Linked DNA regions of Coturnix japonica. The protein of the gene in region 2 purifies or fractionates together with the protein of the main gene of each other region. This does not show direct contact. Links are inferred from orthologs where the notes say so. Each region holds a gene or a part of one and is shown on either strand. Other genes may lie near its edges.

Region 1 (4,496 bases), on a different chromosome or scaffold from region 2:
AAGTTCTAACAGATTTTAGAAAGTAAATCTAACAGCGACAAGAAAGAAATTAGAAGTGGTACCTAAGATCTCCAATAGAGAAAGGAATAATTTCCTAGGAGTTACATGTTTACAAAAAGTCCATAATATGCTGTATTTGTAAGCTATTTTCAAAAATGATCCATTCAGGCGTATAATTTTTTCATGCTTACCCTCCAAGGCCAATCACCAGTATTTTCATTGCTTGTTTTCTCTTCAGTTCTTCCTTTACACTGTCAAAAACAGAGTCAGAGAAAACTCTCAAATCAGAAAAAATAACAGCACTTATTAAGACATTCCAGCCTTATGTAGTATTATATACTTGTTTTCTGTCTTTTTTTCCCCCATAAGCCTACTGTCAGAACCACAACTGCTTGTTCAAATGCTAACAAAACCCTCCAACACAGATGCCGCATTACAGATTTCTATGCGTTTTACCTAGGTCAGTATTTGATGACTTGAGACAGACCTTGAGAGATTCAATTCTACCACTGCTGATAAGCACAGAAGTACCCGGATAAAAAACACAACCCCAGCTCAATCATTAACAGTATCCAAATGTCTGGGTAAACAGGTGCTGAGGTGGAAAGACAAACAAACAAAAAGCCAATTAAAATAAAAAACAAATACCAGTGTTGTGCTGAGGGAAGAAAAATGTTTCAAAAATCCAGTAACTCCCAAATTCCACCATTCACTGTATGTTTATGGCATTGGCTGTCTGTGTGGAGCCAGAAAACAGACTACCTGCTCTCAGGATATGATGAAACATGATCTGCAAAAACCCCACTGCTGTTTTCCAACCAAGCTGTCACTGAGGTTTGTGTTCTGGGGGATTAGCCTTTGTCCCACAAAAACTCTGCAGCACAACCCAAATAACATCTGGGCGCACACACTGAGCTTTGGACTCAACTTACGTCACTGGCTATACAAAACTTTATCCCAACCAACCCACCAACTCTGCCTCCCTCAGAACACAACGTAGAACCCAAACTGCGAGGGCAAACTGGCCTCCAGCGTTGCAGCACACAACTCCAAAGTTAACTCGGCCTCTTTAAAGGGCCGAGTGAAGTTCCACGACAGTTCCCTCACAGAGCTGCCTCGGGCTGAGCATTAAACGTGCGACGACAGCATCCAAACGAGCCACCCGCCCCAGGAGCTCCCACACGGGAGGAGCGGACCCGCGGGACCCACACACCCAAACAAAGCCCACCCCCTACCGCCACTAGCCGTGCTCCGGCTGCCCAGCCGTCACCCGCCCTGCGGTGCCAGCTCCGCCCCCTCCGACACAGCGCGGTCCGATTGGCCGCCCTCCCTTCCCCGTGATCTTCCCACCGAGGAAAGGAGAGAGAGGCGAGGATTGGCTGTAGGGTGTTTCGGGCTGCTGCAGCGATTGCCGCTGCCGCTGTGGGGCGCTGCGCAGGGTACCGGCGGCCGCCCGTCCGCCCCCTCCCTTCCTACCCGCAGCTGTCGCCGCGCACCGTGCCCAGCAGCCCGGAGCGGCTCGCCCCGCTCTGCCCCACCGCCCCGAGGCACTTGCGCAGCTCGTCTGGTCCCGCCGCAGCCATGTCCAAGCCACCGCCCAAGCCCGCCAAGCCAGGTAAGGGAGGGTCCCCAAGACTAGTCCCCCCCTCCACCTTCCCCTCTTCTCCCTGTCAGCGCGGGGCCACCGTGGGCGCGGGCGGCCTTTGCTGGCTGACACGTGGACAGCGGGAGAGCGGGGCTCGGGCTGTCAGAACCGGCGGCCCCCGCCTCTCCCCGCCCCGCCGCCATTAACGTCGGCGCCGCCCGAGCGCTGCGGCGCGGGCTGCGGGTCTGTCCTCGGGCACACCGCAAGGATCTTCGTTTCTCAAAACTCATAGCGAATCGCAGGGTCTTGTAAAAACACTGCTGACCGGGTTTAGGAGCACTCAGTGCGTCATCATCCACCTTCTGCTGATCTGTTAAAGCCTCAGAACTTCTTCCAAGTAACAGTTTCCTCTGGTATCTCACCCACTGAGCATCTTTCAGAGTTGACCTGAAATAGGAAAAAGGCAACGATAGGAGCCCCGACGCTGCAGTTGCCCTCTGGGAAGGTGAATGAAGTGCTGTGTGGGCTTCCGGGAGATGAGAAGGGTGTGGTGCTGCTTTTAGCAGCCAGATATGCGGGAAGAAGCTTTTTTTTCCAGTCCTCCGATTTGCAAAATGATTGGTTAGGTTTAGGGTAAGAATCTTGCAAATTTCAAGGATTTATACTGTTCAGCCTTGCGGAGTTATCAGGCAGGCTAGATGTTCTATGCCTAATGTTGGGCATCCCCAGCCTGGGCAGGCTGTGGTAAGATGCAGGTTGCTGCCAGACAGACAGGCTCGCTGTGCCCTCCCTGTCACTTTGTCCTTCAGTGAGGTGGCACGGCAGTCTGCTGGTGCTCTGGCACTGCAGGGTTCTGCTCATGTTCAGGTTATTTTCATGTTTTAATGAACTTGCTGATCTGGTTTACCACATGATCACTTGACACAGCAAAAGGAAATGGGTGGAAATAAATGGCTGAAGAAGAAAGAGGAAGAGGATAAGACTTTCTTAGTAGTTGCTCATAGGGGTCACGAAAGTCATTTTGTGGAGTCCCTTTTTTGAAGAAGGAATGTCTTTACAGATGCTATTGTGGAATATTTTTTTTCCCAAGTCATTTTCAGGAAGAGGCAGCCTTCAGACTTCCTCCAAAATATTTTGTCCGTCTGCCCTTATAAAACCAGTTATGCTTTTAACACTGAATTTCATTCGGGTTGTAGACATTAAAGCGTACTGAGTTAAAGACATAAACGTGGAGTCTGTGTGTGCTGAAACTAGAGTAGCACAATGCTCTATTTGTTACTAACTTATATGCTTCACGTGGGGAAACGTCTTCTTGGTTCATTTGCTGAAGTTATGTTATTTTTTCTACACTGACTGTTGTCTGGTATTCAGTCTGTAAACCGTCCTGGCTTTTTCACAAAGCAGCAATCTGCTTGCCATGCCGCAATTCAAGCAGGTAGAAGGAAAAATAAGACTTTGGCTGCTGTAGTCCTTTAAGAAATGTTCGGGAAGAAAACGTACAAACTACATGGAGATGGAAGGAGATAGAGTTGATGGCAGGGAACTGTGTTTAGTGTTATATTCATTTCTGAAACAACGAGCGCATTCCTCACTCTACTGGTGAAGATTACAGTTACATATGAATGCCCAGACAGTGCCTTGAAAATGTGCAAAACAGGATGTGCTAAGGGAAAAATGTTAAGTATAGCAGTGAATGGGGTTTTCTTCAGTACATGCAGGATTTTTATTTGATAGAAGGCTCTTTCATTGTAATAATCTGGCTGCGTGGGCAGTGCATTGTGCTTCATCTATGAAGGAGAAGGCTTAGATATCAATAGATTCTAGAAAATCATCTAATAATGTTTGTCAGCTCTCAAGCCTGTATTCTGGGGCCTGTAGTTAGCCCTTGAGTAAGAAGGCTGTGAGTGTTTTTCATGGCTTTGGGAAATTTTTAATTTCTAGTGTTCCAAGACTTTCCTTTGAAACAAGCTTCTCAATTTGCTTTTCTGCAAGAGCTTTTTGTACTGGTTTGAAAGCTTTTTCTTCTTTCCCTATTCAAACTTGCCATTGGTGATATGGAAGAGTGAAGTGAGAACTGAAAATAATTGAAGCTTTCTTCTAAATCAGCATAATGCAAGAGTAGGATTTCCCCTCCATCCTTCAAAAGCTCTATTGATATCTCAAACAACATCGTTCTTTTTAGAGTTCATTAACCTCCTAAACATTCTGTGTCTTATGTTAATTCTAATTACAAAAGTTACTCAAGTCTTTTGAACCTGACAAGCTGCATTGACTCCTGTTAGTTGTCTCCTTGAATAATGGTGGTTATGCATTTTTGGCTAAGGCCTTATAAAGTGTGCAGTAAGAGCTCTTAGGAATCTGGAAATTCTCTTTTTTAAGAAAACAAAAAAAAAAAAAAACTTTGTTACTTTAATGTTCTCCAGATAAAGTAAGGTTTGTTGATCTCGGGCTAAGGTCCACAAAACAGCCAAGTTTTAGAGAGAAGGACCAGTCTTTGAAAGAAATTACAGTTTTAAATGATCCCAGTTGAGAGGAAGTGAGGAAGGAGGAAATAGAGTATGTAGCATAAAGGGACGCTACCTTAAAGTACGTCTGTTGCCTTTGCAGTTTTCTAAGTTAAGAGAAAAATTCTCAGTATAAATATTTAGTTAGAACCACAGTCAAGTTCCTTGCACATTGCTGAGGTAAAGCAGAAGCTGTGGCAGTTGCCATTCGTAGGAGCAGAAGATCTATGCTGAATGGCATCTCTATGGTCTCAGCAGTCCATCACCCTGGGTTGTCACCTTTGTATAGCCACAGAAGGGTTTCTGTTAGCTAGGGAGAAGTGGATTTGTGAGTCTGGGGAGTCATGCTGCAGTTGTGAGTTCATTTGTGGGGGAAATCAGCAGAAATGTTAAACAGCACAAACATG
Region 2 (3,903 bases):
CACAAACACTTTCATTTCATTCACATTCATTAAATGATCACAGAAGAAAACCAAAGCCACCAACCCAACACAGCAGAATACCCCATACACACATTCAGCTGTCATTTGTCTTTCTCACAGCAAAACTGTGAAAGTACAAAATTAAACAAGCTGAAGTTTGAGTTGAAATGTGCATATGCTTACATCTCTTTTCCTTGGATATGCCACTATTTGACGTATAATATTTGAGAAATTGCTTGAATAGGGACAGAGTGTTAGTATTTTCAAGTGGGGATTAAAAGTTACCATTATCGTAAGAACTGATTCCATTTTAGTTGAGTTTGATAACACACAATCCTTGTATTTAATTATTTTAGCATCAGTAGCTGCCGTTCTTACCAAATATCACCCCCATTATGTGGGGAAAAAACTGAAATCTTGCCTATTTTTACTCCAGAATCGGCTTCCTGAAAGCCGCCCTTTCGTCGGACTGGGTTTTTGTTTGTTTGTTTCACTGGTTTCCTAGCAACAATTTCCACAATAAAAGGCCTATTTTCCAATATGTAAATGATTGATTTTAACAGCCCTCCAATGTACACGTTTTTTACTCCACTACAAGTTTTAGGCATACTTTCACTTGAGTAACTTTTCTCCCAGTGTTAAAGTGGAATTAAGTGGTGCACAGCAGAATTTTAAGGGGTGGGAAGGGAAGGAAAACTTAAGAGAAAGGATCTACATTTACTGCCAAGACCTAAATGACACTTTCAAGGGGCAGCCATGATTGTGGCTTCTGTAAATGCTCTACATCTGCATGTAATTGTGCTGGTCTGTGTGCCAAATGGCAGGAAGTGAATTTTGGTGTGCTGTTGATGTGGTCAAGAATGTTCTTTATCAGACTTCACAAATTGTTTCACTGTGATTAAAAAAAGAACTCCACACTGCAAACATCAGCACTTTTACCACTACAAAAAGTACTTATGTATGATTAAAAATGTTTAGTAACGTACCCTACCTCAGTGTGAAATAGAAGAGCATCTCTTTTTAAACTAAAAAATAATACTAAAAAGTACCATATGCTTAAAGATGCCTTAAAGCAAATGCAATCAACCAAAGACTTAGACATGAATCCAGTGTCTGTATAATCACCTGAGATCAGTCTATCAATTTCTCTTTGAAGAGATAGATAACAGAACTTGAAATTCAGTAAGTAAAAAACAATAGCAAAAACTATATTATGTCATTTTATATAATATGCATATATATATGCTATATATATAATATATGTGTCATGTTTTCTCTTTTTTTTGTGTGTGTGTGATTTTTTTTGTTCATTTCATGAAAGTAAATTCAGACACCCTGCTGGATTTCTGCTACCCAATAAAAGCTGTTTTCAAAAGCATGAAGCAAAAGTCAGGATTAATTTAGAATTATTTAGATTTAGGAGAGATAATTTCTGAAGGCTTTTAGACTATCCAGTTCTATTTGTCTGTGGGTTATATGATTAAAAAACATGATTTTTTTTAGCTTTGTTTTTTTCCTTGGACTCAGTGCTCGTTCCTATCACACACTCTTGCTTATTCATACCTGCTCTCCTCCCAGTCTCGAGGTTTCTTGGTCTCATTGGGTTTGATGCAGCGGATGTAGTGTGGTGTGCACTTCATGAGGGTGCCAACAAGATCATTTGCTTGTTTCTGTAAAATTAAAGGAAAACATTATAGAAACAGAGGTGAACAAAGTAAATCCTCTGAGAGAGTTCTCAGGGTATCAGCCCTGTGCTGATGATCCACGTGGCTTGGGTTCTTCTCCAGAAAGGCCGAAGTGTCCTGGGACAGTATGTAGCAGTAACAGAGCTGAGCTTTTAGCATATGAAGGCTATCAACAGACAGTCACTTATTTCTGTGTAAGGTACGAGGGAGGAATTAAAAAAAAAAAACAACAACTCAGTCAATAGCAAAAGTATGCAAAAGTAAGGAAATCATTCCTTTTATTATTTTTATACTACTGGATAGTTTTCTCCTGTTCCACTAATCATTTTCCCCTATCATGTTATTCTTTCTATTTAAAACTAACGCACACTGGTCTCTATGAACATGTTTGTAAAAGATGGATAAACACATCCAATGAAAAGTCATCACCTTCCACCAGTCTCTCAGGAAAATATTAGCATTAAATAGAAGTCCCCATTATCTCCAGCTATGTAATACAATATATTTTATCTACTATACAAAAATACAGAGTGGTGAGTATGGGGAATGCGTCCAGTGGTTTAAACTGTAAGGCTGAAATATGAAGAAAGATGCTGAAAAAATACTGTTTGCAAAGTCTTCAAGTACACATAAATGTATGTTTTACAGCCAGCCTCAAAAAAAAAACCACACACACACACAAAATCGATGCTTGCCTTCTAACACTCACTGCCTTATCCAGCCCACGTTATGGTCAATAGAAAGACTTCTGTTGACTTCAGTGGGTGTAGGATCAGGCCCTGCTGCATTTCTGCACTATAAAGAGCCCAGTTATCTGTAGTTAATTGTAGGACATCAAGTGGCCGAGTGAAGGGGCTCATTCATCACGCACATGCAAAGACTATCACCACTGCCATCAATTGCTCATTTTGAAAATTCTGCACCATAAAATGCAGCTGAACAAAAGGTTTAATGAGCAGCAATGCTGGGCAGAACACGATTCTAACAACTGAAACAACGCAATGCTTTGCAAACACAGCACTGCTAAGTCTGGATAATAAAAACAAAGACTAACTTTCTTTTTAGTTGAGGTATCGTTGCACAAACTGCCACATTCATATATGCATATACAAGAACAGCCATACCTTGATTTTACTGCCAGCGGTGGTGGGACGACCCTTCTTGTCTACTTGAAGATTTTCAGGAAACAGAGCCTTTATAAAAGGCCTAGAAAAGAATTGGTACAGAAAGACAATTCAGTGCAGAAATGGAGAAGAATATGATGTAAAAGCTGATAGGCGAGCAGAATATAAATAGCTTTTTATATTAATCCAGAGTGCTATCAAATCTATTTTAAGATCAGTATTTTCCATGAGCCTCATTCCTCACAGAGATCTCTATATTAGTGAGCTCTGGAAGACATGAGACACCAGTCTTCCAGACTCAAAGCGCTTCCTAAAAAGCCTCAATTAAAATACATAGCAGAAAAAATGTTACTTTATACATTCAAAGAGTGCCTATTTTATAATAATGCTGCATTAGTGACAGCTTTCTTCAAGGCAAAAAAATATTGATCTTATATATGATACCATTTGAGTCTGACATTTCAGCACCCTACTTACTCCGATTGGCAGGAAATGAAGACCAAGTGTAACAGAAGCTATACCGTTTTACTGTAGTGATGGTTCATTTCCATTTTTATGCGAATTAGCTCACAAGATGTGAAGTAGTAGAGATGTTAGGCCCTCTGCATCCATCTAAACTAGCACACATTATTCCTAGCTTAAGCAAATTTTGCTTACGTACAAATCACTGCTCTGCATGAGTTCAATCAAGTCCATGAAAAGAACATCCCGATTTCTCTCGCAGAATCCATCCATATCATAAGATACCTGGGCCAAGGTGGAAATTGATTGTTTGTGGTAAGTTGAGAACCCAATAATTACAGAAAAAAATATATCCTGTCCTCAACAGTAGCTGCTCTGAAATTTTGGCTAGTCTGATACTATTTAAAGACAGTATAGCGATGAGTAAATCCTTGCATGTATTACTTGACTCTTTCACAACAAAGGAATTACATCCATAGACTTAAGCTAAACAAAAAAGGACCTACAAACAAGTCAGTAGAATGCAATACAAGTGAATTTAATGCTGAAATTTATAGAAGAAAAATATTTTGCATAACGATGTACTGTTATTAAATATAATAGCAGGAAACAATGAGTAGAATGAGACATAC

What was found.
Region 1: the proteins of MYO1E (region 2) and OSTF1 purify together in Homo sapiens (co-immunoprecipitation; 3 studies listed by BioGRID and IntAct, counting the BioPlex papers as one, with this or other methods). This does not show direct contact. The link is inferred for Coturnix japonica from reciprocal best matches to the Homo sapiens genes MYO1E and OSTF1.

The regions. Positions count from the first base shown.
Region 1 is NC_029547.1:33,132,455-33,136,950, forward strand, and holds the start of OSTF1 (osteoclast-stimulating factor 1), read left to right. Parts: upstream 1-1,418; 5' UTR 1,419-1,581; coding exon 1,582-1,615; intron 1,616-1,910; exon of another isoform or gene 1,911-2,002; intron 2,003-2,007; coding exon of another isoform or gene 2,008-2,018; exon of another isoform or gene 2,019-2,099; intron 2,100-4,496. Other genes in the region: NMRK1 (nicotinamide riboside kinase 1), read right to left, coding at 192-251, 2,008-2,018.
Region 2 is NC_029525.1:5,793,488-5,797,390, reverse strand, and holds part of MYO1E (unconventional myosin-Ie), read right to left. Parts: intron 3,557-3,903; coding exon 3,471-3,556; intron 2,892-3,470; coding exon 2,810-2,891; intron 1,671-2,809; coding exon 1,564-1,670; intron 1-1,563. UniProt on the Homo sapiens protein: Actin-based motor molecule with ATPase activity. Unconventional myosins serve in intracellular movements. Their highly divergent tails bind to membranous compartments, which are then moved relative to actin filaments.